Linked DNA regions of Elephas maximus indicus. The protein of the gene in region 1 interacts with the protein of each later gene in a biochemical or structural test. Links are inferred from orthologs where the notes say so. Each region holds a gene or a part of one and is shown on either strand. Other genes may lie near its edges.

Evidence for each region.
Region 2: the proteins of HSPB1 (region 1) and CS form a complex in vitro, tested with the Homo sapiens proteins (2 studies listed by BioGRID). The link is inferred for Elephas maximus indicus from reciprocal best matches to the Homo sapiens genes HSPB1 and CS.
Region 3: of the proteins of HSPB1 (region 1) and MAPKAPK2, one has a biochemical effect on the other in vitro, tested with the Homo sapiens proteins (17 studies listed by BioGRID and IntAct, with this or other methods). The link is inferred for Elephas maximus indicus from reciprocal best matches to the Homo sapiens genes HSPB1 and MAPKAPK2.
Region 4: of the proteins of HSPB1 (region 1) and MAPKAPK3, one has a biochemical effect on the other in vitro, tested with the Homo sapiens proteins (2 studies listed by BioGRID and IntAct). The link is inferred for Elephas maximus indicus from reciprocal best matches to the Homo sapiens genes HSPB1 and MAPKAPK3.

The regions. Positions count from the first base shown.
Region 1 is NC_064830.1:94,249,984-94,256,785, forward strand, and holds HSPB1 (heat shock protein beta-1), read right to left. Parts: upstream 2,178-6,802; 5' UTR 2,058-2,177; coding exon 1,682-2,057; intron 1,045-1,681; coding exon 981-1,044; intron 858-980; coding exon 668-857; 3' UTR 504-667; downstream 1-503. UniProt on the Homo sapiens protein: Small heat shock protein which functions as a molecular chaperone probably maintaining denatured proteins in a folding-competent state. Plays a role in stress resistance and actin organization.
Region 2 is NC_064822.1:116,265,739-116,273,460, reverse strand, and holds the start of CS (citrate synthase, mitochondrial), read left to right. Parts: upstream 1-4,702; 5' UTR 4,703-5,036; coding exon 5,037-5,078; intron 5,079-7,722. UniProt on the Homo sapiens protein: Key enzyme of the Krebs tricarboxylic acid cycle which catalyzes the synthesis of citrate from acetyl coenzyme A and oxaloacetate.
Region 3 is NC_064836.1:16,407,955-16,415,180, reverse strand, and holds the start of MAPKAPK2 (MAP kinase-activated protein kinase 2), read right to left. Parts: upstream 3,009-7,226; 5' UTR 2,680-3,008; coding exon 2,401-2,679; intron 1-2,400. UniProt on the Homo sapiens protein: Stress-activated serine/threonine-protein kinase involved in cytokine production, endocytosis, reorganization of the cytoskeleton, cell migration, cell cycle control, chromatin remodeling, DNA damage response and transcriptional regulation.
Region 4 is NC_064838.1:54,949,829-54,957,303, forward strand, and holds the start of MAPKAPK3 (MAP kinase-activated protein kinase 3), read left to right. Parts: upstream 1-4,456; 5' UTR 4,457-4,571; intron 4,572-4,827; 5' UTR 4,828-4,879; coding exon 4,880-5,104; intron 5,105-7,475. UniProt on the Homo sapiens protein: Stress-activated serine/threonine-protein kinase involved in cytokines production, endocytosis, cell migration, chromatin remodeling and transcriptional regulation.

The DNA.
Region 1 (6,802 bases):
TGCAGGTCCCAGCCTGCATTTCTGGGCATGGGGGCCAGAGGATTAGGTGCTTTGTTGAGGCTACCACCCCACCCCCCTCAGAAAGCCACTTTGGAGTTGCCACACTTTCTGCATGGTCCTGCCCCTCTCTGGAGGATAATGTGGTCAGGAAAGAACTTTGAGCTCCCAGGTCGCTCCCCTCCCCCAGCCCTTCTCTGTCCCCCTTCACCTGACCCCAGGCTAGTTGTCTTTATGTTCCTGAGTTTGAAAGCCAGAGTCAATTGCCCCTCCTGGTTTTCCCTGTCCCGCACCTGGCCCTTGAGGTTTTGTCTAGTTACAGCCATTAAAAAAAACATTACCTCTCTCTTAATGGTCATGGGGCTTAAAGACAGGGCTGTGTCCTGTCACATATACACTATATCCCCAGGGCTTGGCTCCCGGTAGCCCCTCAGCAATTTCAATGAATGTGTGAGTGTGTGTGTGTGTGTGAGTGTGCAGGGTACTAACCCCCCCCCACAACAGCCCTCCACAAACACCAGAGTCTGAGGCTGCACCTGGCGGTTGCTTCGAACTTTATTTGAGAAAAACTGAAGGTAAACGTATCAAAAGAGCATACAGATTGGTGAGTGGGGATGGCCAGCGATGGCTACTGGGGTGTGGGGGTGTTTGGGCAGCAAGGTCGAGACTTTTACTTGGCAGCAGGCTGCTCGGACTTCCCAGCTTCTGGACTCCCAAGCTGGGCACGTGCCTCAAAGGTGACAGGAATGGTGATCTCGGCAGACTGGGTGGCTGGCTTGGGCATCGGGGCCTCCACAGTGAGTGTGCCCTCAGGGGACAGGGAGGAGGAGACCAGGGTGGGGTCCACACCCTGGGGCAGCCTGGGCATGCAAAGAGAGAGGCCAAGAGTTACACAGGGTAGGCACCGCGGCCTTCCACCCAGCCCCTTCCCTCCCGTGAGCCCCCTCACCCCATCTCCGGGACAATCTGGGGCCAGGACTCACGTGTATTTCCGGGTGAAGCAGCGGGAGATGTAGCCGTGCTCGTCCTGTCGCTCTTCGTGCTTGCCTGTGGGGAGGGGGTAGTCATGAACCAGGGGCCCCGCCACCTGCCCTGGCGTGGCTGGGGCGCAAGGCAGACGCTGATGGACTTAGGGGTTTGGGGGACCCGCCTCTCCCGGGCCCTCTCTCAGAAAGTCCTGGAAAATTCGTTCCGGTCTTTTGGACCGTGGGGGCACTGCGCCAGCTCGCGGGGCCTTGCAGGCGCTTGAGCACTTGCACGCCCCCAGCAGAGACTCGGGCAGGGGCAGCGCCGGGACCGTCCCCGCCGCTACATGCCAACAGCACGCCGGGTGCGGCGCAGCACGGTGGGGCGCAGGAAAGCCTGATTATTTGGGGAGTGGGGCTGGGAGTTGACGATGGAAGGGGTGTTTCTTCCCTAAACAGGCCGTTTTTAGAGCTGAAAGGGCCCTGAGGAACTACCCCCTAATATAGAAGGCGAAACAGACGGGAGGAGTGGCCATGACAGGCGGCTCAGCTCCTGGTCCTTGGCTACTTCTAACTTCGAACCCACAGGCCCCGCGCCCACTCCTTCAACCGCCCCCCCCCCCCCAACCCGGCCTAGTTCTTCACCCCAGGCTGGCTAAGTCAGGAGGCCCGCTCTCGCCATACTAACTTCGTCCGCCTGCAGGGGAGCGGGGCCTTACCGGTGATCTCCACCACGCCGTCCTTGGTCTTGACCGTCAGCTCCTCGGGGGCGAAGTGGTTGACGTCCAGGGACACCCGCCAGCGGTCGGACGTCTGCCGGATCTCCGAGACGCCGCTGCTGAGTTGCCGGCTGAGCGCGCGGCTGTAGGCAGGCGCGGCCACGGCCACGGGCCCGGCGCCCTCGACCGCGGCTGCAGGGAGCGGCCGCACGTAGCCCGGCCAGCCGCTGTGGCCGAACCACTGCGACCACTCCTCGGGCAGCCGGGGGAGCCCGAAGGCCTGGTCGAAGAGGCGGCTGTGGAGCGGGTACCAGTCGCGGAAAGGGTCCCAGCTGGGGCTCCGCAGGAGCGAGAAGGGCACGCGGCGCTCAGTCATGCTGGTTCAGCTCGGTTGGATGCGTCTGGCTGAAGTTCGGAGAATGTGGGGCGGCTGGCCCCGCTAGGGCTTTTATGGGTCTCCAACCGGATATTTTTAGCAGGCGGTGTTTCAGGTCTCTATTAATGGCAATGACTGGCTGGGGTCTGTCCCTCCTCCTGCATTCCTCCAACGGGGGCGGGAGCGGGGGCGGGGGTGAGGCGAGGAAGGCCCTGCCCACATCGGGAACCTTCTGTTGTTAAAAAAAAAAAAAAAAGGGCTGGAGCGCACGTACTAGTGTTGGCCGGACACTTGCAGGCCTGGGCGCTAAAGCTCTGAGCTGCGGTCAGTGGACAGTCCCACTCTTTTGTTAAGGAGGACAAGCCGAGAGAGTTTGAGTTACTTGTCCCAGGCCACACAACTAGTAAGCAGCGGAGGCAGGATTTGAACCACACTGTGTCTGTGATACAATGCCTTAAGAAACAATCTGGTGTGGTCGTTAGGAACCAGACTCTGGTTCTGCCTGAATGCACATCTTGGTTCTGCCCCTAATTGTATTAGTTTGGGCAAATGAGATTCTTTGTGCCTCAGTTTCCCCATTTGGAAAATGGAGATGATGTAATAATAATGCTTATAATAATGAAGGCTTCTGTGGCTTAGTGCCAGGCCTTAGGGCCTGGTACCTAATGATTGTTAATATTATTATTATTATCTACTTGAAATGCACAAGAGGGAAGAGGAAGGATGAAAAAAAAAACCCAGAGGAAGGATAGTGTGTACAAGTCTGTTCTCTCCACACCCCAGCCCTGTGGCAGAGGAGCTGGCATGTGTGGGTTTGACATTCTTCCCTGCCCCTAGTAAACTGGGCTGGCCCAGCTTAGAAACCCCCAGGTCTAGTCCTGAGAGGGTGGTGGTGGGGGAAGCTTATTGCCAAATCTCCTGTTATATCTGTTTCTCAAGGAGCACTGGACAGGGAACCTGAAGTGCAGCAATCTGGAATCTAGTCTGGGCTTTGTCGTTGACTTACTGTGTAATTTGGGGCAAAGCACCTCCTTTCTGTAGCCTCAGTTTGTCCTTTTGCATCTTATGATTTCAAACCCCCTTTTGTATCTGATTCCCACAGCACAAAGGGAAAGAGGGATTCTAGGTGATAGATGGAGTCCCTGGGTGGTACAAATGGTTAACACACTTGACAGCCAGCCTAAAGATTAGAGGTTCGAGTCTACCCAGAAGAGCCTCAGAAGAAAGGCCTGGCAACCTACTTTCCAAAAAAATCAGCCATTGGAAAACCCTATGAAACAGAGTTCTACTCTGACACACACTGAGTCTCCATGAGTTGGAGTCCACTTGAAACACTAACAGAGCCAGACCTCTTGCCTCCTAGTATCCAGGGCTCTTACCCTTGTGGGGCTCCTGCCCTGGGGTCCTCTGGTCCCTCTTTTCCCAGCCCATTCTACTTGCTACCCTTATGCTGGGGCTGAGGCCCTCCTCTTGCCAGGTCTATAGGGGACCTATACCAAGGCCACTAAGGCCTTGCCCTGGCCAGGCCCAGACTCCAGGCATACCTGAGAGAATGGGAGCCAGGACTCGAGGTTGCTCATCTTGATGGGCTGGGGGTGGCCACAAGTCTCATGCCCTCTCTGAGCCTCGGTTTCCTCTTTGAAAGAGAGCACACAGACACCTCTCTTTCTTACCTCCCTGCTGCTCATCGGGGAAAAGCCAGGACTGGGCCCCGAAGCCAAGGCCACCTCTGGAAAGGCCTCTGAGCTCCGGGGGTCTGGAGAGCCCAGGGTGGGAGGCAGGCAGGACTCCTGACTTCTGCCCCATTTCTCTTGCTGGATCATGTCATAAGCCCAGTGGGTTTCTGCTGGGAGCTACTGGCCGCCCCCCAAGGGTCTCAGCTTCAGGAAGCCCAGGCCTTTGCTCCCTAGCATGTCCAGCCCCACCTATCCCTAGCTCTATAAAACAGAGATGAGATCAGGAACCAGGGAGGGCCTCATCTGCCCCTGCCTGTCCACCTTGGCCCAGACTGGAGCCCAGGGCACCCCACCCTAGAGGGAGCTGTCAGGTGTGGTCAGGATGCTTTCAAGTGCAGCCTTGCCAGGCCCAGACGCCCTTTGGGTGGGGGCCGTCTGCTGGCTGCCAGCCCTTTGAACACAGCTCCGTTCATCGCTCCCTTCATCTCACCTGAAACCAGGGTGTGGAGAGTCCATCCCCGCTGGCCCAGCCGGAGGAGGAAGTTGTGCAACCCAGGGGGCCCCACAGCACCCCGATCTGGGGGCTGAGAATGCATATCCATCTTCAGTGGGTCAGTTCTTGAGGGACAACTTTCATATCATCCAGTCAATCACAAGGGAGGGACATGGATGGCTCTGGGCAGCACCGCGCTGGGCGAGATGGGGGTGGGGGTAGGAAACTGCATTTGGGGGTTAGACGGGATTGGGAGTGAATCTGGGTACTGGTGGTCTTTCTGGGCCCACATGTCCCATCTGTCAAATGGGGTAAATAATAAATGCGCCCACCCTGCAGGGTTGTGGTGAGTCTCAAATGCAATAAAGCCTGTTACAGGCCTGGGGCTCAGTAAGTGCTCCTGGCCTTTAATTTTGGACATTGCAACTTCAACGAAGTTGTATGTATGTGCTTTACTACTTCAAAGTATCTTATCAGAGTTCCGTTATTCAGATGAGAAAACTGAGGGTCAGAATTGCCCCAAGGTGACAAAGCTGGGAAGGGTGGGGAGGGATTGGAACTCAGGCCTCTTGATTCCCTGCCCATCAGTCAAGAGACTTCCCAGGCAGCCCAGGAAGGGCTGTGGGTTGTAGGCTCCCAGAGTGCAGAGTGGGGTGTGCAGCTAAGGGTTCCTTGTGGGGCCAGGCACTCTGGGTCCCTTCCAGCCCTGACCAGGCATCCTTCCTTCAGGAGGTGATACCGGACACCTGCCACAGGGCTTGGTTAGCAGAGCAAGGGGTGGAAGTCAGCCCTGACTGGCCGATTGTTCTTTGACAATTTGAGACTCCGACTCTGGCATCCTGGGGCGCTGAGCTGCCAAGGGTAGTTTTTCAGTGCTCACCCCCAGAGGTTTTCCAGAAGCCACAGGGCAGGTGCTAGCCCTACCCCGCTTCATTACCTATTGTATGGTCTGGGCATTCCTGCATCCGAGACAGCCCCTTCTCTCCTCCCTAGCCCTGAAGTCTGGGGTGCTCCTGAGCAGCCTCCTTTGCACCATGTCTGAGGCCCTGGCCACAGTAGCCATGCCCTTGGCAGGCCTTTGTTAACTGTGGCTGAACTGGCCCCTCCCTCTTTGGCTCAGGGTCAAAGAAAGCTCCAGAGTGTTCAGGCAGCTGCCTGAGCTCCCTGGAGAGGCCTGACAGCTGACGATTGCACCAGCCACAGGGCCTGCCAGAAACTGAAAATGTAGGCAGCCGTAATTAGAGTGCATGGGGGTGGCAGGCACGGGGTCTTTCTGGAAGCTTCTATACACTGCCCCTCTGGGGCAAAAACCCATCTCTGGCCTGCCTTGCTTCCTAGGCCTCTGGCTTCTGAATTGTCCAGGGGTCATCCCTCCCCAAGCACTGCTGAAGGGGACTAGGAGGGAGCAGGTGGGAGGGCTGGGGATCCATCTTCCAGCACCTTCCACCCCCTCTCCATGGAGCAGAAAAAATGGGAGTCTGGGAACCTGGGATGTCTTTGACTCTGTGACCTTGGCCAGGGGCCGGCTGCTGTGACTCATTTTCTTCATCTGCACAATGAGACCATTGGACTGGCTGTTCTGTAAGACTCCTTTCAGGGCCAGGAAGCAACAGTTGCTCCTCCAGGGTCCTCCCTACCCCAGTGCCCTGCCTACCTGCTCTGCAGTCTAATGCTGCAGCCGTAGGGGGGGTGTACATGGTAAATGGAGGCAGAGATTGAGGGGTAAGGGGAGGAGGTGAGACACTCACCAGGCCTGAGATGTGGATGTCCCGTCCCTGTTGACCAGCTGAGCCTAGGCCAGGCGTGACTTGGGGCTGCTGTCCCTTTAAACCAAAGTAAGGTAAGAAACAGGGGTGGGGGCCCAGGAATTCCCCCTAGACTGGAAAAATTGGAAGGAGAAAGGGATTCCTGTGCTGAGGTGGATTTGGGCTTCCAGCCTAAGGGAGAGAGCCCTGGAAAGTGAGCAAGAGGCTGTGGAGATGGGGCCATGGGACAGGGCACCCCCACGCCTTGGGTCTCCTGAGAGCCCTCCACAGGTGGAGGGGGTCTGGTGATAGGAGTGGTTTGCTAAATACTCCCGCAGCTGAGAGAGAGGGGCAGACAGGAGGCCAGGGGGCTTCCAGAAGCATATCAGAGAGGGAAGGGATGGGGGTACTGGCTCAGGGCTGGGACACCCAAATTGGGCATATGCACTTGTGTCTTGTTGTCCTGGGTCTGGGGTCGCAGGTGAACGGTTAGAAACCGTTAGAAGAAATGGAAAAATACTTCCAGGGAAATGGGAAATAGGAAAGCCTGTCCAGCCTCCCAGCTGCTGTGTGGGTAAGGAGGAGGGTAGGGGGTCCCCACGGGCCCCCATCTGAGGAGAGAGAGACCAGGATAGAACCTGCTACACCCTAAAACCAGAGAACTTGTTCCAGGCTCAGGACACATCCCAGGGAAGGTGGCCCAGCCCGCCCCACCTCCACCCTGTCTATCCGTTCCCTATCCCCCTCCCCCTTCCACAGGAGGCAACGAGAGCTTCCTGTTTTCCTGCCTGCCTTCCTGGCAGTATTTTTCCCCTTCCCAAGGTAGAGAGC
Region 2 (7,722 bases), on another chromosome or scaffold:
TAATGGTTTGACTGAGACCAGAAGAATCCCGGCAGTCATGGTCCCCAAACCTTCTGTTGGCCCAGGACAGGAACCATTCCCAAAGACTACTCATCAGACATGGAAGGGACTGGACAATGGGTAGGAGAGAGATGCTGATGAAGAGTGAGCTACTTGTATCAGGTCGACACTTGAGACTGTGTTGGCATCTCCTGTCTAGAGGGGAGATGGGAGGGTAGAGAGTGTTAGAAACTGGCAAAACGGCCACGAAAGGAGAGACTGGAAGAAGGGAGCGGGCTAACTCATTAGGGGGAGAGTAAATGGGAGTATGTAGTAAGGTGTAATTATATGTGACAGACTGACTTGATTTGTAAACTTTCACTTAAAGCACAATAAAAATTATAAAAAAAAAAAAAGATTTACAGCCTTAGAAACCCTATGGAGCAATTCTACTCTGTCCTATAGGGTCGCTATGAGTCAGATCAACTTGTTGGCAGTGGTGGGGTTTTTTGGGGTGGCAAAAATGGTTACGTACTTGTCTGCTAGCCAAAACGTTGGCGGTAAGAACCAGGGGTGGATTATCCAATAGGTAAGGTAAGCATGGTGCTTACATTGCTTACCAGATCATCTGTAGTGGACAATTTCACATTTTTTCACATCATCAAAGATTCTGCTTCTAGGTATGTGTAGCATCTGTCTCTCTCCCAACCCCACAGCACCTTCCCGCAGAATCAAAGCCTCTTTTCAAATCCTCACTGATGGGTGAATGACCCAGTAAACAAGGTAAGCATGGGCTTACTTGTGCTTACTTACTAATCTGTAGTGAACAACTTCACATCTTTGATGTGGTGAAACTCATATGAAGTGGTTCACTACAGATGATCTAGTAAGCAAGGTAAACACCGTGCTCACCTTGCCTATTGGATAATCTGCTCCTGGTTTGAACCTACCAAGAGGCCTCGGAAGACAGGCCTTGCTATCTGCTTCTAAAAGATCACAGCCTTGAAAACCTTATGGAGTGGTTTTACCCTATACACGTGGGGTTGCCGTAAGTTGGCATCAACTCTACGGCAACTAACAACAACATTCCTATTTTACAGGTGAAGAAACTAAGCTCAGAGAGGTCAAGTTTCTTGCTAGTCAGCAGGGAGCTAAAGCTTCAGCCCCAGTGATCATCTTAATCCTAGGTCAGTGGTCTTTCTGCTACATCTCACTTCATGTAGTGGAGTCTCCGTGTGATCTCCAGTGGCTGTGTAAAGTAGTACTTTTCTTTGAAAACCGTCTCCAAGTTTGAAGGCATGCCCTCTAATTCTAGTATTCTGTAGTGAAAAATTATATCCTCTTCAACCGTGTTTCCAAACTGGTTGTTCTTGTAAGAAGCCCATTCTATCTCTCTGGTCATTTTAGGTGCTAATCATGAAAAAAGTCCTCTTCATTATGCATTCTAGGGATCACCATTTATCATGTATTTCAGGTATAAAGGTTTTACAGATGATTAAGCCTATAGTTTTGGAAGAAGTACAGCCAGAATGCTCCTTAGAAAGGAGGATGGCAGGACTTCCTCTTACGTACTTTGGACATACTATCAGGAGAGACCAGTCCCTGGAGAAGGACATCGTGCTTGGTAAAGTACAGGGTCAGCAAAAAAGAGGAAGACCCTCAACAAGATGGATTGACACTGTAACTGCAACAACGGGCTTAAACATAGCAATGATCGTGAGGATGGCGCAGGACCAGGCAGTGTTTTGTTTTGTATATAGGGCCGCTATGAGTTGGAATCAACTCAACAGCACCTCGCAACAAGACTATAGTTCCTTATCTTTTAAAATATCTTTAAATATAGGAACATATAAAGCTGATGTCCCTAGGACACAATGACTCAAAAATCCCCTTTCTGAGTTGCAGCTTTTAAGTCACAGTCTCTCGTATAAAAAGTACAGCTTAGCAGTTAAGATACAGGCTCTGAAGTGAGGCAGACCTCAGTCTGAATTCTAGTAATGCCAATTATGAGCTATGTGACCCTAGGCAGGATACTTTATCTAAGCCTTGGTATCCTCCTTTTTAAAGATACTATTATCACCTATATCCCTTAGAATTGCTGTGAGGACTAATGAAGACATGCATATGCCACATTTAGGTAGTATTTGGTAACAGTAAGTACTCAATAAATTTTAGCTATTAAATGCAGGTGTTTAGGTTACTGGTATGGACAGTTTACCAAACCAAAAAACCAAAACCACTGCTGTCAAGTTGACTCTGACTCATAGCGACCCTATAGGATGCAACAGAACTGCCCCATAGGGTTTCCAAGGCTGTAATCTTTATAGAAGCAGACTGCCACATTTTTCGCCAGTGGAGCGGCTGGTGGGCTCAAACCACTGACCTTTTAGTTGGCAACTGAGCCCTTCAGTGCGCAACATGGGCTTCTATGTGGACAGTTTTAACAAAACCCACTGCCGTCAAGTTGATTCTCACGGCAACCCTATAGAACTGAGTAGAACTGCTGTATATGGTTCTCAAGGAGTGGCTGGTGGATCCCAACTGCCAACCTTTTGGTTAGCAGCTGAGCTCTTAACCACTAAGCCACCAGGGCTCCTGGTGGAGTTTGAGTTTAAAGTTAGCTACAGTCTCCTATTTGTTCTTGGCCACAAGGGGGCACCATTGTCCCTGTCCATTTTAAAAAGGTCCTCCCAAGGTCATGATAACCTCAATACTCAGCCTTCTGTCTCTTGCCGCTTCCAGTTCCGAGACACTTAGTTGTATTTGGACCTAGAGCTCACTTGGATGCTTTATTCATTCCAATCTTTCCCCATTCTCTCCCCACCTCTCCAGGTCTCATCCATATTTAGAAAGAGATTCTAAGCCGGCTCCTGGGAGATCTCCTTTAGCCCCTTTGGTGCCTGGGCTTTCCCACTGGCCTTAAAGCAGTGGGTATCAGGATTCGACAACTTTCAAAAAGTCCATAAAGTGTTCATGACACTAGGCTCCAGGGCCCTGTGTCAAGGGGTTTAGAGCACTGCTGTTGCCCACCCTCCCTCCAGTGACTTAGAGGTCCAAAATAGGTTATCCTTATGTTGTTGTTAAGTGCCGTTGAGTTGGTTCCAACTCATAGCGACCTTATGTACCACAGAATGAAACACTGCCCAGTCCTGCACCATGCTCGCAATCGTTGTTAGGCTTGAGCCCATTGTTGCAGCCACTGTGTCAATCCGTCTCGTTGAGGGTCTCTTTTCTGCTGACCCTGTACTTTACCAAGCATGATGTCCTCCAGGGACCGATCCCTCCTGCCAACATTCCAATAGGCCATCCAATAATTGTCCCTTTGGTAGCCTCACCCTGATGATGCCACCTATCTCTTGGGTTACTGAAGTTCAGTCCTCTGGTCTGCTGGCTAGTCTCTGTGGATAATTAACCAGAGGGAAGAGAGTCAGGTCAGATTATTCTAGGGTTATGAGGAAATCATCTGTGAGAAGCTAAATGGGGAGCAAATATTGATCAATAGAGCTTTGAAGTCCTGAGGAGGTAGCTGAGGTCAGTGCTTCCTCTGGGCATTGCTTGGCTTCTCTTTATGACGTTCTTTCCTAGTACCCACCTATCTGATCCCCAAGCCAGAGGAGCATTCGTTAGTAGGTATGAGACTGGATATGAGGAAACCTGGGAAGATAAAAAAGGAAGCTTTCTTTTTTTTCTCCAAAAGCTATAAACTGTGTTGTGTATAAACTAGGCCTATCAAAACCTGACTTAGATGGGTACTGTGATCTCTGAACCTCATTAATGTTATGTAAGAAGATAAAGGGACTGTTCACTTGAGGCTTGGGGTTTGTAGATAAGGTACCCTGGTCCTATAAATTCCCCTTTGCCCCTGGGTCAATGACAATGACAGGTTTAGGGAGGTGGAAATGTCCTAAGGTCTTGTCCATCCAAAGAGGTAAGAGAGTGGCGTGGAAAATCACTTTAGTACCATAGGTCATTCAGTGGTGTCTGGAGAGCACAGGATAAGTGAGTACATGGCATAGCCAAGTACTCACTTATCCTGTGCTCTCCAGACACCACTGAATGACCTATGGTACCCAAAGATCCTATGGAAGTGATGTGACAAAGAGGATGTCTAATGCCTGATCTTGGATAGGGGTTGATCTGCAGCTCCTGATCTTGTGGTTAGATGTAGAGTGGTCTGGCTGTATAGGGTGTGTGACTGGGGTGGCAGTGACTAATGCCCAGGACCTAGAGGCTCTGGCCAGTGCTGGGAAGCCTTCATATTAAGGGGGTGTTTTTAAGACTTGGATTTTCTGGCACTAGAGCAGAACTGACAGCCCACAAAGAGCACTGGATATTCAGGCGCCTGCCTTTGCTCCCATTCTCCACACATTGCGGTCTGTTAGCATCTATAATACCATGGTCTGTGCTGACCTCAAATGAGCTCTACCAAGCGGCTAACTCTGGCAATCACAGCCCACGTCCCCATGATATCACCTCCATAGCCTTATGTCTTTAACCAAAGCCATTCTTCGGGAGAACATGCCAAGGGGGTAGGAGGAACGGGCAATAATAGGTTAAGGGATTGACTCCCGAGAACCTTCAAATATCGAGGTCCTGGGGCTTTTTCTCTAATACCTTAGAATTAACCTCAAATGTGTAAAGGGAAGGGAAAAAGCCGAAGAAGTTAACTGAGTTCTCAGGCACATACTTAGCCACCTACAAGATCCCCCGCCTCCACCCTTACCCTTCGTTATCCTAATCCGGCTGGTCCAATCCTCTCGGCCACAACCGCCGACAACGGCCCAGGCTCCGCCCCATATCCACACCGGACCAATGGCCTTACCCCGGGCTGGTCCCCTGAGAGGGACGGGATCCGGCTCGGGGCAGTAGGCGGGGCCTCACTGAGGACCCCGGGCTGGGCCCCGCCGCCGGTTCGTCTACCCTTTCCCTCAGCCGCCTCCTTTCAACCTTGTCTACCGGTCGGTGCGGCCTCTGGTGCAGCGGCGGCGGCGGCTTCCGTTCCTGCCGCAGCTCTCTCCCCTCCCTCCCTACCCACCAGATCCCCGAGCGCGCCCGCCATGGCTTTACTCACTGCGGCCGCCCGGCTCTTCGGGGCCAAGGTGAGCGACTAGGGGAGGGAGCGCGCCGTCTCAGGGTGGGGCTGAGGCGACTGCCAGGCCCTCGCGCGCCGGGGTCTCCCTCTCCCATCCCTACGCACCCCTGCGCATTTTAAAGGGATTGAACGCTTGGCTGGCAGCCAGCCCTGCGTGGAGCTCTCGAGACCACGTGCTGCGTTGGCCTTCCAGCTCCTGGGTGTGCAGTGGGCTGCTCACCTCTGGTATGCGACCCCATGCAGGTGGGGAGGGCGGGCCCTCCTGTCCCCTCAGGTGTATAGGGTGGAAGAGGGTGATGAATGGCCTAGGAAAAAGGAGGAGCCACGATCAGAGTCGCCAGTAAAGAGGTGGTGTGTCCACAGGAGTTTGCTCCAGAGAGGAGAGGTCGGGGTAACGGGTGGGCGGGGATGAACAGAAGTGCTCATTCTGTTCTTTGGGCAGAGTTGGAGCAGTGGCTAATTTCGCCTTCTGCCTTGTAGGGAGAGCCTTGTCAGTTCCTGAACTCCCTGTTTCTTCTCCTCCAGCCCTGTTATTTAAACCTTTAGTGACCCAGCCGAAGCAGTTCCTGCTAGAGAGGTGGGACTTTCAGGTCCTGTTTGTCCTTGGGACTCTTGGACTTACTTTTTATATAGGAATAGTTTGGGTGGGGTGGAATGCTTCTATAAAACCTCCTGCATGATTATCACATGTGACTGGAGAAGGAATCGCAAAGAATGTTCTCCCCACAGTAGAGGCTAATAAGTGAAGATACTTAGGAGGAGATAGTATAGCCAAGGTCACATGACCAGCCCTACTACTTGCTCAGGTTTTGCTGCTATTAAGTTTACCCGGAAGAAATTTCTGTTATTCTTTGGGACTCTTTAATTGACATTTGTTGCCTTTTGGATCATAAGAATATTGTTCCAGGTATTTATTGCTTGTATTCAAATTGCCTGTACTGTTGGCTCTGGGTAAGGAGCCCTGGTGGTGCAGTGGTTAAAGCAATCTACTGCTAACTGAAAGATCGGTGGTTCGAAACCACCAGTGGCAGTGTGCTTCCATAGAGATCCACGGCCTTGGAAGCCCTATGGGGTCGCTATGAGTCGGAATCACTGGATGGCAATAACTTTGGTTGGTTCTGGATAACTTGGTCCTTTAAACAGAAACTGCCGTGCTGAGGGAACTAACCCTCTAATCCAAGCAGGGATGACCTTGACTTATGCAAAGAATTTATACTTCTGCCGATAGATTAAAGCTGCCAACACCTGAAACAAAAGAAAGTTTTAAAATGTTTTTGCCTTGCTGTGTGTTATCTTGCATGGTTGGCTGAGATAAGGTAAACCTGTAGAATTTACCTTGGGGTTCTTCCAGGCACCCAGCAGTAAGATAGAGGCTGGTCATTTGGGAGATAATTATCTTACTTGGCTGTTGCTTCTCTGGGAAAGGAAGCCTCTTGGGAAGTGAAGCAAGTTCTAGATAGTGTTTTGGCAGAATAGGGGATACTATAATTAGCTCATTCCTGAGTTGCTAACCCAGACCAGATAGTCTAAGCCTACAATAAATTTGAAAAAGGTCTTAGACTTTACCTTTTGAATTTGTTTCATCTTTTAAGTCTCTGGGGAATCTCAGAAAGCATTTGGGATGACAGGGATACACAATCTTGCTATCATTGGTTTTTTTACTTCTTGTTAGAGATGGACCTATGGATCCCAGAAACCTATAAATTGGAAGCCGTTAGAAGGTGTTTGGGCCTTAAAACTAGTAAAGCCCGGCTCAAGAGTGGAAATTTTCTGAGAACAGAACATCCTGCCCAGGATACCAAGAAGCCTTTCAATTTGTCAGCATTGCTAACACCTGCCTGAGCTTTCCAGATTAGCCTGCTGCTTCATTGTTAGTCGACTTTACTTTTGCTGTTAAGGCTAAATAGTTTTCCGACATGGGAGAACTGACCCCTACCACTTTGACTTTCAGGGACAGGTCTAATTGCACTTTCCTGGGAAGAGTTTTTTGTTTTGTTTTGTTTTGTTTTAAACCTTTCTGGGAAACAGAAATGCTACACATTGTTGTATTGTTGAAACCCACTGGCAGATTTTTTAAATGAACGTCTGAGTTGGAGGAATAGACTGATCAGAGCCTTGAGATCATTTGACTTCTTGTTTATTCAAACAGATTAATACTGAGCAATGGCCTTAGTATTGCCTGTAATATTAATAATACATTACTATTAGTCTTATGATGTAAAAACTGCCTTTTCATGGATGATTTTGGTTTGGATTTGGGCTGAGAACTGGAATAGGGCCAGTACTTCACTTCTGGACTCCTGAAGTCAATGTGACTTAGCCAACCCTAGCTAAAGGGGATTATTTCTTCTGTTAAAATTGCCCCATCCTCCCAAGTTAGGATATTTGATAAACTTTGAGTAAGTCAGTCCAGAGGTGTTTGTGGATTATTTCTGGACTTTTTCAAAACAAGACACTTAATACCAAAGGTTCTTTTACTGCAGACCTACCCCACTGAAATTGGGGTAGTCAGACTAATCCTAGTCTAAAATTGGGTTCAACAAAATCAAATCAGTTTTGTCCTGTGAAATGCTAGGCTTAAAGCCCAAAACTTTTAAAGGCAAGGGCACGATTCACCTCTGGGTTACTGTGCCCTCCCTTTGGTTATCAGC
Region 3 (7,226 bases), on another chromosome or scaffold:
TTCCTTCATACATTCCCAAAAGAGCAATCTCTCCTCCCCACCACATCTTCCTCCTTTGGTTTATAATCAAAAACTCCTGGTTTTGAAAAGCATTTCACTACTCAGCACCTAAGGTTAAGTTAATCAAAAGTCAAGATCTAGAAATCTCTTTGGTCTATGTCTCTGGAGCAGAATTCTTGGAACCAGACTGCCCCCACAGCTGTAATTACACCTTAACCAGTATTGGGATATGGAAGGGCTGTTGACACTGCTGTCACTCTCCTCATGCCTCATCCTCCTTTTTTCCTCTATTATTAAGCTTTTACGCAAAGATGTGTGGGAAATCTACAGTTTAACAGTTGAGTCAACTTGTAAGGTCTGGGAGCAGGTTGCCTGTCAAAACAGACTCTGACTTCAATCTTCACCCACTTCTAACTGAGAAAGATAAATTATGCTCATGAAAACCCACTAGACTCCGTGTGTCATTTAAACATTGTTATATTTTTCCTTTCAAAACTATTCAAAAGTGAAAAAGCCAACTCTCTTTCCCCGATTTTTACAAAAGAACCCGAACTGCCATCTAAAAGCAGACTAGAGGGTAGTTTTGTGTGTCTATTACACATACATGGAGCAGAAGTTGAGAGCTTTTGTTCTGAAGGTCTATACAACATTCTCTCCATCCAAGAGAATGAACAGCCAGTGTCCCCAAACTGCGGATGGGTGACAGCAGATGGCGTCTCAGAGGGGATAGAAAACTCTCCTGGAAAGCATGTCTGTCACTTCCTCAAGGGTACAGGTTAACTGTGGTCAAACTGTATTCACTCAACTCTGTTCCTCAAGGTCAGAGCCACAGACAAGACAAACATTCCCTCTCCCTTTCCCGGTTCCAAGTATGGAAAGAAGGGTCTAAGGCACAGACACCAACACTTCCGAGACACACATCTACTCCCTCTACAACACCCAGCATGAGAAAACCATCAAGAGCCCACAGCAACGGCTAATCATAAAAACCAAAGAAATCTGAAAGAGTTCAGGCTAGCGGAAAGCTCTCCCCAAAAGAGAGGATGGAAGCAACAAGAAAACCATTTCAGAGACCTTAAAATCTGGGAATTGCTCATGCTTGCCCTCTACAGCCCCAAAGTGCCAGGTTTTTATTATATCTGATTATATATTCCAACAGTCTGCCCATAACTCATATCTGAGTTTTGTATTTAACAGCTGAAATACTGCCAGCTGTGCGGGTGGAGGGGAAAGAGAAAAATATAACACAGGAAGTATTTTCTCCTCCTCCAATCATTAACACGGCCCAGGGGAAATAGACCTGGTGTGTCACCTTTAGAGATGTGGTTTGACCTGAAACCCCTCTGAGGGAGAACACCTACTTTTTGGTGACCCTTGAACGACTGGCTCACACTGTCTGGGGACCCACCCCAACTCATCAGACCTCCAAGTCCATTCTATTTACCTTCCGAAGTGTTCTCCCCTACCACGCCCCCTCAAAAAATAAAAAAAAAATGAAAGGCTGGGTTTCCCCAGCCCAAGGCTGACGCTCGCTCCTACTGTCCATCTCCACGGCTAAAGAGGCCACCTCCGAGTCGCGGAATCAGCACGGAGCCAAGCCCAGGTTTACAGATTCGGTTTAGGAAGATCGATGGAGCCATGGAAACAGCAGACACCCGCCGGAGCCTGCTGGCCTCCCATCTGGAGCCGCACAAGCACCGGAGGTAGGAGGGGGCCTGCTCTAGGATCAAAACAATCCCTCCCCCGCGCCGGGGGACGGTATCCCCGCGGAATCTCCAGCCTTGCCCCGGCGGGCCAGCGCGCCCCGAGGCGGCACGGCCGCGCTCGCGAGGCCCAGGGAAGTGAAATCACACATTCCGGCTCCCAAATAAGGAGCGAGGCTAAATAAACCTCAGAGATCCGACTTCTCCAAACCAACCGACCAACCAGCTCAATGAGTAATGGGCCTTCTGTGCCCGCAGAAAGACAGAAAGGAGGGAGGAGAGGATGGGGAGCCACGGCCTCCGAAAATCACTTCCTAGAGACGGGGTTAAGCACAATTGGTCCCAAAGCCAACCGTCCCGATTCGGCAGGATCCCGCTCAAACCCCAAAATGGCAGAGTCCGCACGAGTCGTCTCGAGTCCCCGCCACTCGCGCCCCGAGGTGACCGGAAGCCCGGCTGGGCCGGCAGCGGGTCAGATCCGACCTGACCTTCCCGGCTCGGCTCCCCGGAGCCGCGCACTTGGCACCACTCGGGCACCCCGGCCGCCCCGCTGCGGCCACTCACCCCGCCGGCGCCGGACGCCCCCGAAGGGTCAGCAGATGAAGTGAAGGCGACTCCTCGCCCCCGCCGCCCGGAGAGCAGGGGGTCGTCCCGGGAGCGCCCCTTCTCCCTCCCCTCCCCCCGGCCCTAAACCTACTTTTAGGGCGAATTTCTCCTGGGTCCGCTTGTTGAAGATCTGCAAAACTTTCCCGTTGATCCCCAGCCCCAGGACCTGGGTGGTGACCTTGTAGTCGTCGGTGATGGCGTTCTTCTTGATCTGCAGGCTCGACTTGACGTGGAACTGCGGGAACTGCGGCGGGGGCTGCAGCGGCGGCTGGGCCGGGGGGTGCGGCGGAGCCGGGGCGGGGGGCTGCGGCGGCGGCGGCGGGGCGGGGAACAGCACCGGAGGAGTCTGGCCTTGGGAGTTGGACAGCATGGTGCCCGGAGACGCGGGCGCAGGGGCCGGAGGGCCCGCGGCCGCCCCCTCCTCCGGCTCCGGACCGGGTCCCCGCCACCCCCCGCCCGGCTGGAAAGTTTGCTCCGGGCTGGAGCCGGCTTCCCCGCCCCGGCTCGGCTCCAGGCTCGGCGGGTCGCGGGGCTCCGTGGGTCCCGCCGTCCGCCGCTGGCGCCCACCGGCCCTCGTCCCTCCCCCCGGGGGCCTGGCGCTCGGTGGAACGCGGGACGGCGGGGGCCGGCCGGGGGGAAGCGGCCGCGCGACAATGTACCCAGCCCGGGCCGGCGGCCGCGTCACAGCCTCGTCTGCGTCCGGGGCTGGCCCTTAAAGGGGAGGGCCGGGGGCGGGGCTTGGGGAGACGAGGCGGAGCCGGGAAGCGTGGGTGTCTTAAAGGGGAGGACGCGAGGCGCCTGCAGCGTGGTGGGCCGCGCCAGTGGCTGGGAGGCGCGAGACGAAAAGGGGAGATTTTAGTTCTTCCCCGGTACCACACAAAGGGAAAGGGGTGGTGGAGGAAAGCAGCTACATAATTCAGATGGAAAATCCACTTTTCTCCAACCGTCTGGGTCTTTTAGAACAGCAGCAGCGAATTGGAGGAGGGGGTATGTTTTGAAGGAGAAGGGATGGCAAGTGTGAGCTTGATAGGCGCTCAGGAGTTTGTTGAAATCACTGGGGCCGTTCATCCTAGAAACACGTGTGATACTAATATTAGATATTTACTTAATTGAACAGTTCCCTCGTTTACCTATGAGTTTTGGATTTATTTCCTCATACATGTATTGTTTTTCATATGAATTTAAAAGGATGCGGGATGGGAAGAGGATGGGTCGAGATCCAGATCACCTGAAATCAGGTGAGCCTTTACAATTGCCTGGCTGCATGATCAGAGAAAGACAGACTTTGCCCCTCTCTCTCGGTGGAAAGAGTAGTGACGCCTTTCTCATGGGCTTGTGGAGAGTATCAGGTAAGATCATGGAGAAAAGGGAGAGTCTGGGGAATAGGTTCTGATTTCCAACGTGGAAAATGTTTTTCCTGAACCTACAGGCATAAGAAGAAGCAGGCGTTTCTGAACAAGCCTAGTTCTGGCCCAGGGTAGCCCCATGTATCTGAAGAAGATGCCAGCGAGCTAGGGGGTCCCATAGCATAGCCTGGATCAGGGCAATGAGTGGGAGGCCCTGAATATAAGCTGCCAGGAGGCCTGGGCATGCATTCTGGTGGGGCCTGGGCATGACTATCAAATGCATCCCTGCTGACCTCCTCCCCTCTCCGACTAGTAGGGCAGTTGAGAAGTAAGACACAAAACCTCAGCTTAATTACTCGTGGGCCAAATTAGAGAATGTGGCTTGACCTATGGCCACCATCGCCCCTATTATGTCCCTCCACAAGTCCAGAGCCCCCTGTCAGGGGAAACTCAGCTTAGGGAGAAGCAGAGAACTTCCTGAGGACCAGGCTTTTGAGGAGGGAGCCCAGGAGAGGAAGGCACAAGTACCAGTGACTCCTCCCTCCCTCACCTTTCCCAGAAGACATTTCTCCCGCTGGGAGGCCAGAGTGAGGGGGTGGAGGGAAGGGCAGGAGTCGCTGTCTGGCTCTGTCCCTCCTGAGACAGGAGGGCTTGCTCTACAAACCAAGGAGCACATTCATTCTTTTTAAGGAGCACTTATTTAGTGCTGACTGTGTACATGGTACCATGCAGTGATGGATGGTGTTAACAATTTTGAGGGTAAGGAGACACAGACATGTACTAGATATCTTTAGAGAGGCACAGACCCAGCCCCGGGAGCTGAAGGAGTAGCGATCCTCTGTCTGGGGTAGCAGGGAGCTTCCTCCTGTGCTGTAAGGACGGGTAGGGTTAGACACCTCCCCTGAGCTCCCTGACTCTTCAAAGACAAAGAGGCTACCCAAAACCACAGGGGTTGGAAAACACCTCCACCTCCCCAGTTCTAATGTATTGCTATCACCTGAGGCAGGCTTGGGAGATCCCCCAAAGAATTAGGGTCACAAGGATGGGGGGAGAAAGGCTCCGTCTGATCAATTTCTTTCTCAGGTAGAGGGGTCACTGGTCTGGGGCTGTTCAGGGCTCCGGGTTGGCCTTTTTCTCTCTGCAGAGGAGTAGGGGACAGGGCTTCCCCTTGCTTGGCATTGCACTTGACTGGCTTCTCTCACAAGGCTAGGAAGAGTATAGCTCCTGGTGCTCTTTCAGAGGCAGCAAGGCATAGTGGAAAGAGAATAGAAATCAGAGACAAATGACCCGAATTCACGCCTGTCCTCCAGCTGAGTTATCTTGAACAAGCCATTTAATGTCTCTTTATGTCTAGAAAATGAAGAAAATAATAAAATCTGCTTTCAGGGTTGAGTGAGAATCCACTGAGATAGTGCACATGAGAACCCTTCATAAACTGTAAACTAAATTATCATGAAGTGTTAAATATTATCATTATTTGTATATTGCTGGCCTTGCTCCCCTGTGCTGAGCCCACTGCCTAAGGGTCTGTCCCTGATATCAAAGCCGCCTTCCTATCTAGCTGGGGCTCTGGGGAGATGCTAAAGCCTGATGACCTAGGAATAACATGACAACTGGAATCCTCATGGAGTTGAGAAGTAAGGCAGATTAGCCCTAGAGCGGCATGCAGGACTCTAAGGACACATAGACAGTGCACAGAGATTACATATACTACACACGCAGCCCCAGAAAACACACACATGTATGTGCCTACCTGAAAACCAAAACTAGATCCATTGACCTCAAGTCAATATCAGCTCATGGCAATCCTAGTGTTACAGAATAAAACTGCTCCGTAGAGTTTTCTTAGCTGTAATTGTTACTGAAACAGATTACAGCAGTACTGCTGGGTGGGTTCAAACTACCAACCTTTAGATTAGTAGTCAAATCCAGATGATTTGCACCACCCAGGGACATTTAACAAAAAAAAATGCCTAAATGGATGAATAACTGAGGAGCGAGCTGGGCTAAAGGAAGAAGCACTAGGCAAGGGAACCAGAGTCCATTGTGGTATTAACTAGCTATATGACCTCAAGAACATACCTTACCCTCTTAGTTCCCTCTTCTCATCTGTAAAATAGTGATAATAACATCTGCCCTGCCTACCTTGGAGGGTATCTTAGTCATCTAGGACTGCTATAACAGAAATACCACAAGTGGATGGCTTTAACAAAAGATGCTTATTCTCTCACAGTCCAGTAGGCTAGAAGTCAAAATTCAGGGCACTGGCTCCAGAGGAAGGCTTTCTGTCTCTGTAGGCTCTTGGAAGGTCCTTGTCATCAGTCTTCCCTTGGTCTGGGAGCATCTCATCACAGGAACCTCAGGTCCAAAGGATGCGTTCTGCTACCGGAGCTGCTGTCTTGGTGGTATGAGGTCCCTGTGTCTCTCTGCTTGCTTTTCTCTTTTATATCTCAAAAGAGATTGGCTTAAAACACTAATCTTGTAGATCTCATCAGTATAACTGCCACTAATCCTGGTGGCGTAGTGGTTAAGTGCTATGGCTGCTAACCAAAAGGTCAGCAGTTTGAATCCGCCAGGCGCTCCTTGGAAACTCTATGGGCAGTTCTACTCTGTCCTACAGGGTCTCTATGAGTTGGAATCGACTTGACGGCAGTGGGTTTGGTTTGGTTTGGTTTGGTTTGGTTTAATCCATCTTATTAACATCATAGCGTTAGGATTTACAACACATAGGAAAATCACATCAGATGACAAAATGGTAAACAGTCATACAATACTGGGAAGTATGACCTAACCAAGTTGACAGATACTTTTGGGGGACACAGTTCAACCCATGACAGAGGGTTATTGTAAGGATAAAATAAAATAGTTTCCCATAGGGCACAAAGAAGTCCAAAGTCCTACTTATATAATAGCAAGCTTTCAGCTGCCTGTAATGAGCTACTTAATAAACAGTTTTTATGGATTTATAAAAACTTCAAGGGTTAAAAGTCTATGCCAATAGAAAGTACTGTTTTTATCTACAGTTGACAAGCAAACAGACGCTGTGCAAGATAGTACACAGACAATGTAAGCAGCTCAGGTACACAGAATGGATTACTTATAATCATTGATTCATGACGTCGCCTCATCACTGGATCGGTGGCCCTTGTGCCTCCACTTTTATGTAGTTACTTGTTATTTTTAATAAGGTAATAGGCACCTGTGAACCCACTACCCAAAATTAAAACTAGGCGTTTGACAATGATTTACATCTAAACAGGTGGTACCTCGACCCCCTCCCCCAACCTATTTTTGTTTCCCTGGCCCAAGATAACCATCATCTTCAATCCTATGTTCATCATGCCCTTTCTTTCTTTTTTTGTATAATTTTATTTCATGTGGACACATTTAAAAGTTTAGGTGTCCAACCATCATAAAAGATGAAGCTGAAAATGTCTTAAAAGGGAAGTAGATATGGGTGACTTTATTAGCAAGAAGAGGTTAAAACAAGAGACCCCTTATGATAGCTTCCAAGTATTCCTTTCCTGATGATGATGCTAATGATGAAGATGATAACTGCTCACATTTACTG
Region 4 (7,475 bases), on another chromosome or scaffold:
TATCCTTCAGGACCCAGCTTGAAGGCTCCCAGTGAAGCTTCATTGCCCCTAGTCCAGTCAATGTAGAGTATCCCCTACAGAGCTCAGTGATTGGGCAGTTCTGCATGTAAACCAAAGGGTCTCAAGGATTTTGGCCTTACCGACGACCCTTTGGGAATCTGACAGCACTGCGCACCTCACCTGCATACTGGGAACATTGGTGTGCCCTTCTTGCGCCTGCTCACCCCAGTCATTGCAGGTTCCTCAGGCCTTTTGCCCTGGCTGCTCCCTGTTCTGACTGCTGGGTCTACACTGCCACCCAGCGGCTCTCCTTCACATGGCCTCACTCACCCTCTCCACAGATGTTCCCTTCCATGAGAACCCCTTCCCTGCACGGCGGAGACTGGCCTTGCTGCAGGATCCTCCTACCCCTTCCCACCCAGAACAGTCACAGTAGGGGCCCCAAGAATCCACAGCAGTGCCTTCCCCGAAGTCAGGCTCATTTAGTCTCTAGACTCTCACATGTGCAACCCTCTCCCCCATCTTTAGCCCCCCCCCCACCCAAGTCCTCACTGGGCCCCTTGGCCGCTTTGAGCTGTTCCCAAGGCCTCAGACCCGTTTTTCCTTAGACACACAGCTATCATTGACTGCGATGTGGCAGAGTCAGCCACCATGAACCCACCCCTGTCCAGGCCCAGCCATCCCACATCTCACCTCCTCCCATCAGTGTGAAGGTGGATGTGGTGGCATATGGTTGCAGGGCTAATGAATGATGGCCCTTCTAGATCATGCCACACAAGCAGTGAGGGTGAACCACGTCCTGACTGTCTTGAGTTAATGAGCAGTTGCAGAACATCTGTCTACGCTGGACCTATGTGGGGAACGTGCGTGCCTGTGTTAGCATGGACAGTGGTTACAGGACCTGTGACAGGAGAGGCATCACCGTTGCTTACTCTTTACACTTCTATATGGTTTGAATTTGTTCCAACAAACAAGTTGAACTTATGCAATTAAAAATTTTGAATAAAAAAGACCAACTTAAAAAATAGACTTATAAAATTTTAGAGCAATTGTAATCTCACTCCATTTTTTAAAAAAGAAGACATCTTCGTGGAGACCACAACATGCACCAGATGCCCTGGGCTGGGCCAAGGAGCCAGTCTCCACCCTCTGCTGTCTAGCCCTTTGCTTACATGGGACCCTGCCTGTCCAGAATGAGACCTCGCTCAGCCTTGGTTTTGCCTAGCCTAAACCAACTACCTCCAGAGGGCAGTTCCTTCTCCAGCCTCTAAGCAGCAGAACTTCCCAGATTATAGGGCCTCCTCCCAGACTTGCAGATCTTGAATCAGATTCTCAGGTGGGGCTCAGGAACAGAAGTCCTAGATTCAGCTGGGCATAAGTGTGTGTGTGTCTGCATGTATGCCTGTGTATTGGAAATGTGCATGCCCATGCAAGCACATGTGTATGTGTGCATGTGCACATGTGTAAACACATGAGTGTGCATATGTATGTACATGTGTGAAGGTATGTGAGCTTGTGTTTGCAGTCGTGGATGTGTCTGGGGGGTTGGGGAAACACATGAGAGGAGAATACAGTTCGAGAGTAAGAGATGGGCCCTGGAGCTGTGCTCTGTGGTTGGGATGGGGGCTCTGCCATGATCGCTGGTCACGTAGGTCTCTTCACCTCTCTGGGCTTGTCTGCAGTGCCGCAGAATAGGTACAGCCCTCCCTCCTCCGGTGGCAGTGAGAAGATCATGGGGCCCAGTGTCTGGCCCCCAAAAAGACTCAGTATGGCTAGCTGAGAGCATCCTTGGAGACACCTGCTTCACTGCGCTCTGCTAGGCTTGAAGGGACAGAGTCCTGGCATCCTCGGCCCCACTCAATGCCTGCACACTGGAGGTACCCACCAATAGTTTATAGCACTGCTTCTCACTCACGGAAAGATCATCAAGCTCTGGCGGAGGCAACTGAGATTGGGGGGGGCGGGCGGGAACCAAACCCTTTGAGGTCGAGTCGTTTCCGACTCACAGCGACCCTATGCGGAGGAGATGCGAGGGGGAGAAGGGCACAAATGCCTGTCTTCAGGAATGAGCCTGTTCTTGCAGTCCTGGTGTCCACGTGCGTGCAAGCGTGTGTGTGTGTATGTGTGCGCGCGCGCGCGCACTAGAGGATGGGGGGGGTGGGGGGTGGGTTGCCAGATCCCAATTCCGAAGTCCTGAGAAGGATTACTGGAGAAGCCTTTGGGTGGGACAGAGGCCGGTACCTGCAGTCCTGCCGATTGTCTGTAGATGGCAGCAGAGGCTAGCGCAGCAGAGGACTGCCCAGCGCCGCACCTTCCCCGTACGAAGTTGTTGTTAGGTGCCCCTGAATCGGTTCCGACTCATAGCAACCCTATGCACTACAGAACGAAGCACTGCCCGGTCCTGAGCCATCCTTACAATCGTTGTTATGCTTGAGCTCATTGTTGCAGCCACTGTGTCAATCCACCTTGTTGAGGGTCTTCCTCTTTTCCACTGACCCTGTACTCTGCCAAGCATGATGTCCTTCTCCAGGGACTGATCCCTCCTGACAACATTTCCAAAGTATATAAGATGCAGTCTCGCCATCCTTGCTTCTAAGGAGCATTCTGGCTGTACTTCTTCTGAGACAGATTTGTTTGTTTTTTTGGCAGTCCATGGTATATTCAGTATTCTTCGCCAACACCACAATTCGAAGGCATCAATTCTCCTTCAGTCTTCCTTATTCATTGTCCAACTTTCACATGCATTACGGTGCGATTGAAAATACCATGGCTTGGGTCAGGCGCACCTTAGTCTTCAAGGCGACATCTTTGCTCTTCAACACTTTGAAGAGATCCTTTGCAGCAGATTTGCCCAATACAACGCGTCTTTTGATTTCTTGACTGCTGCTTCCACAGCTATTGATTGTGGATCCAAGTAAAATGAAATCCTTGACAACTTCAATCTTTTCTCCGTTTATCATGATGTTGCTCATTGGTCCAGTTGTGAGGATTTTTGTTTTCTTTATGTTGAGGTGCAATCCATGCTGAAGGCTCTGGTCTTTGATCTTCATTAGTAAGTGCTTCAAGTCCTCTTCACTTTCAGCAAGCAAGGCTGTGTCATCTGCGTAACACAGGTTGTTAATGAGTCTTCCTCCAATCCTGATGCGCCGTTCTTCATATAGTCCAGTTTCTCGGATTATTTGCCCAGCATACAGATTGAATAGGTATGGTGAAAGAATACAACCCTGACGCACACCTTTCCTCACTTTAAACCAATCAGTATCCCCTTGTTCTGACCGAACAACTCCTCTTGATCTGTGTAAAGGTTTCTCATGAGCACAATTAAGTGTTCTGGAATTCCCATTCTTCACAATGTTACCCATAATTTGTTATGATCCACACAGTCGAATGCTTTTGCATAGTCAATAAAACACAGGTAAACATCCTTCTGGTATTTTCTGCTTTCAGCTAGAATCCGTCTGACATCAGCAATGATATCCCTGGTTCCATATCCTCTTCTGAAACCGGCTTGAATTTCTGGCAGTTCCCTGTAGATAGACTGCAACAGTACAAAGTTAAGGTGGAGGATTTGCAGGAGAAGTGCAGCCCCTACCCTGTGCCTCTAGATGAGTTGTTTCCTCTCTGGGAGCCTCAAGTTTCCTCATGTGTAAAGTAGGGATTATTTGGTAGCCTTTGTATTGGGAAAAGTGGACCAAAATACGTAAGGGATTACCTTAGTAGGCAGGCTCAGAATGATATAGAGACCTGAATGTGGAAGGGAAAACCACAAAGCGAATAGAGAGTATTCGTGTCACCTGGAGGGGGCGACTTCTAAAACGCAACACCAAAAGCCCAAACGTAAGCTGAAAAATTGATGGATCTGACCGGATCCAAGGACTCTGTACCTCAAGGGAAAAAACGAGCCAAGGACGAGCAGGAGGTGCACAGAAGCAGACAGGTTTCCAGTGCGGCAGAGACTCCCCAGAGTTACTGGGGAAAGAATCGCAAATCAAACACCAAAGAGATGCCACTTTGCCCAGCATGCTGGCGAACATTCAGAAGTTGGGTATGCTGGCGGTTGGCGGCAAGTAGGGAAGGCGGAAGTCTCCTGCCTTGCAAGCCAGACTGGAGGGCCGCCCGGCAGCGTGCAGAGAAAACAACCCCATTCAGGTGGATATCTGAGGCTCCAACAGAAACAAGACGTCTTGCTCTGTCACCTCCTAGGTCTCTCGTAAATTTCGGGGCTCGCACAAACCACTTGGGACTGGGCTGTGTTGGCGCAGGGTTCTCCTGGGACCGCCCACAGAGCCAGGGAGGTTACCGCCCCTCAGAAAGCCCCGCCCGCCCGTATTTCTGCCGGGACTCCGGGGCGGGGCCGGCCAAGGGCTGCTTCCCTCCCCAGCCGAGTCCCGCCTGGCCCTTTAAGGCTCACGGAGCGGGGCCCCAAGTCAGGATGACGCGCGGGGGGGCGGTCACGTGGGCCGCCGGCCGCAAGACTCTCGGCCCAGGGCGCTCCGCGGTCCTCGGTTCCCGCGACCGCCGCCCCTGCCCCTGCCCCCGTCCCGCGCCGCTGCCAGGTGCACCGCCGCCAGGTACGCCCTCGCTGGGTCCCCTCCGCGGCCCGCCCTGGGGACCTCGGGGCCACTCGGCGCCCGGACCCTTCCCTTCCTGACACGTGCCCAGGGCGGACTCGCTCGTGTCTGGTTGCGCGACCACCGCCTCTTGCTGCGCGGAGGTACTCAGGCGGTACAGCCTTGTCCCCGATCCAAAGCCCAGCCCAACTCAGGGGCTCCAGGACTGGGGTGCTGGAAGAGTCTAGGAGGGACTCACTCTTCCCCTCTCCCTCAGGTGGTCCTGGACGCACCAGGCTGGGGCCACCTCTGAGTGCCCCGCGGGGGCCATGGATGGCGAAACAGCAGCGGAGCAGGGGGGGCCCACGCCCCCTCCGGGTGCACCCGGCGGACCCGGCTCCGGAGGCGATCCAGCCTTCGGGGGGCGGCGGGAGCCCAAGAAGTATGCGGTGACAGACGACTACCAGTTGTCCAAGCAGGTGCTTGGCCTGGGCGTGAACGGCAAGGTGCTTGAGTGCTTCCACCGGCGCACGGGGCAGAAGTGTGCCCTGAAGGTCAGTGACCCCTCGCCACGGCTTGGGGTATCCCAGAGGGCACGACAGCAGAGGTCTGCGCGTGCAGGCTATGGCCCAGGTCCCTGCCAAGCCTCCTATGCTCAGCGTCACGTTTCATCCTCATAAGCCCCTGTGTGGTCAGGACCATGGCACTCCCTGCTTTACAAATGGGGAAACTGAGGCTTAGTGTAGCTAAGCTCTGGGTGTCCCAATGAGCAAGGGATGCAGTCAATATGGTTAGGGCCTCTATACCCGGAAGCTGGGAAGGAGTGCCTCCTCACACAGGGATTCTGGCTGGGCCTATGTGTGTTCAGGCCCCAGGGGAGCCCTCACTCAGCTTGGGTGCTCCCTCTGTGATCAGCTCCTCTGGCTGTGATGGGTCTGAGTTTCCCTCTGCCTGAGGTTGAGTCCTGGCAGGGCTTGAAGTGGGACTGCTCTCTCCTGGTGGTCCACTGCCTGCCAGGGCCAGGAGCCTCCTAGGGCTGGACAGAGGACAAGGCCGATGCCCATCACGCCTGTGGGCAGGAGGCTGCTGATGGGCTCCTGCTGAGTCACTGGCCCCCTGTTAAAAGGGGCAGGCCTTGATCCCAGCCTGATCCACCCTGGCTCCTGGACAGAGGAGAGCCCAGCCATCTAGCCACAGCAGAGCAGGCCAGCCATCTAGAGGCCTGGCCCAGGCCTTGCTGATACTGGTGGAATCAGGGGGATCTGGGGGTGGCTGATCTAGCCGTGTGGTTCTGATTTAAGTCACATAGTTCTGTGCTCAGGACCTCACCCCATACCCAGAATTCCTCAAATCTGTCGTCAGCTGAGAACTTTGCTCATCTGCATCTTGTGCCAGTAGCCACCTGAATGGGTGGAGTAAGGCAGGCAGAGTGGCTCCTGGAGATTAGAAGTACAGCAAAGGATCTGAAGCTGTGGTTATGAGCCTGAGCTCAGAGTCCTACGGATACGTCTCTAATCTCAGCCCTGCATTTGCCAGGGAAGTGTCCTGGACTCTTGAAGCCAGCTGTCCTCCTCTATTCAGGGGGAAACATAAGAGATTGATGTAAGCTTGAAATGAGATGATAAGGGCAGAGTACTTGGTACTGGGCCTGGCATAGGGCTTGTTTAGGGCACATGGTCTGCCAGTATCTGAGCATGGGCCTCGGCCCAACACTTGGTGTCTTTCCCAGGGGTACAAAGATCAATGGAGGGCTTGTTTCTCCAGAATAGCCTTGGAGGGGATCTGAGGGGTCCAAGGGGAGGCTCAGGGCTGGATTGGTGGGGCGGTCCCCAGACCCCACTAACTGAGCAATGATACAGGGTGGGAGACTTTTTGGAGTCCCAAGCAGAGAATTCTCTGAGTCCTTTAGGGAAAAAGTGGCTCCTCTGAGGGGCTATGGGGATAAGGGAGAGGAGATTGGGAGTCTATACGCATCTTAGCCCCTTCTCCTGTGCTGGGGTCATGGGGCTGCCTGGGTAGGTGAAGGACCAGTTCAGGCCAGAAAACTGCTTCTTAATACTGAGACTTTGGCCCTGTGTCAGGGCTAACCTCTGAGCAGCCGCCATGCTACTCCAGATGCCATGTGTGAGGTGGGGAATGGGTGGGAGGCTAGAGTCCTTGGAGCCAGGCATCACCAACTTTAAGCAGGGTTGATCCTAGCCCCTTCTCCACAGGTGTGTGTCCATCTGTTCATCTGGTGAGTGACTTGGGGGAGCTTCTGTTTTTCTACTGTAGCAACTTCCAGAGCACCTCCTCTTGAATTTAGGGCCCTGTTCTGGTCTGGAAAGTGGGACAGGCCTAGAGTAGGTTCCTGTGTCTCCTCCTCTAGGTTTTAGAGGTAAACGTGGCTGGAGGTACTAACCTCAAGTTGGTCCTCAAATATGGCATGGATTAGATGTGGCATCCCCCCAGTACCTTCCTGTTTTCTCCCCTCCACTCCTCCACTGACCAAGCCTGGTAGGCCTCACCCGGCTAGGCCAGGGCCTCCCCACCTCTCAAAGCAGTGCTGACACAACCTCTGGGTTGCTGGGAGACTCTGGGCCTGGACTGGGGACCAGCCTGGCACGGTCATTGTACCTTACTGTAAATGGCTGTGGCCCTGAGGAGGGAGATGCCATCTCCCTGCTTCGTAGCCTCTGCCCTTTGCCTAGTGCTGCCCAAGTGCCCCTGGCCAGGACCTGGGTTCTCTGCATGTGGGCAGGCCTGGGCCCAGGGAGTTTGGTCAGATCACAAATGGGTCCCAGCTGTCTACTCAGCTGCCCTAGCTCAGCCTGGGTGGGTGCCATGCACTCTGCTTGTCCTTCTTCCTCCCTGGGCTATACCCCAGGTCTCCTGGTTGGCCTGTCCTCATCTCATAGCCTGTCTAGTCTCTAGCCCAGGTTAAGC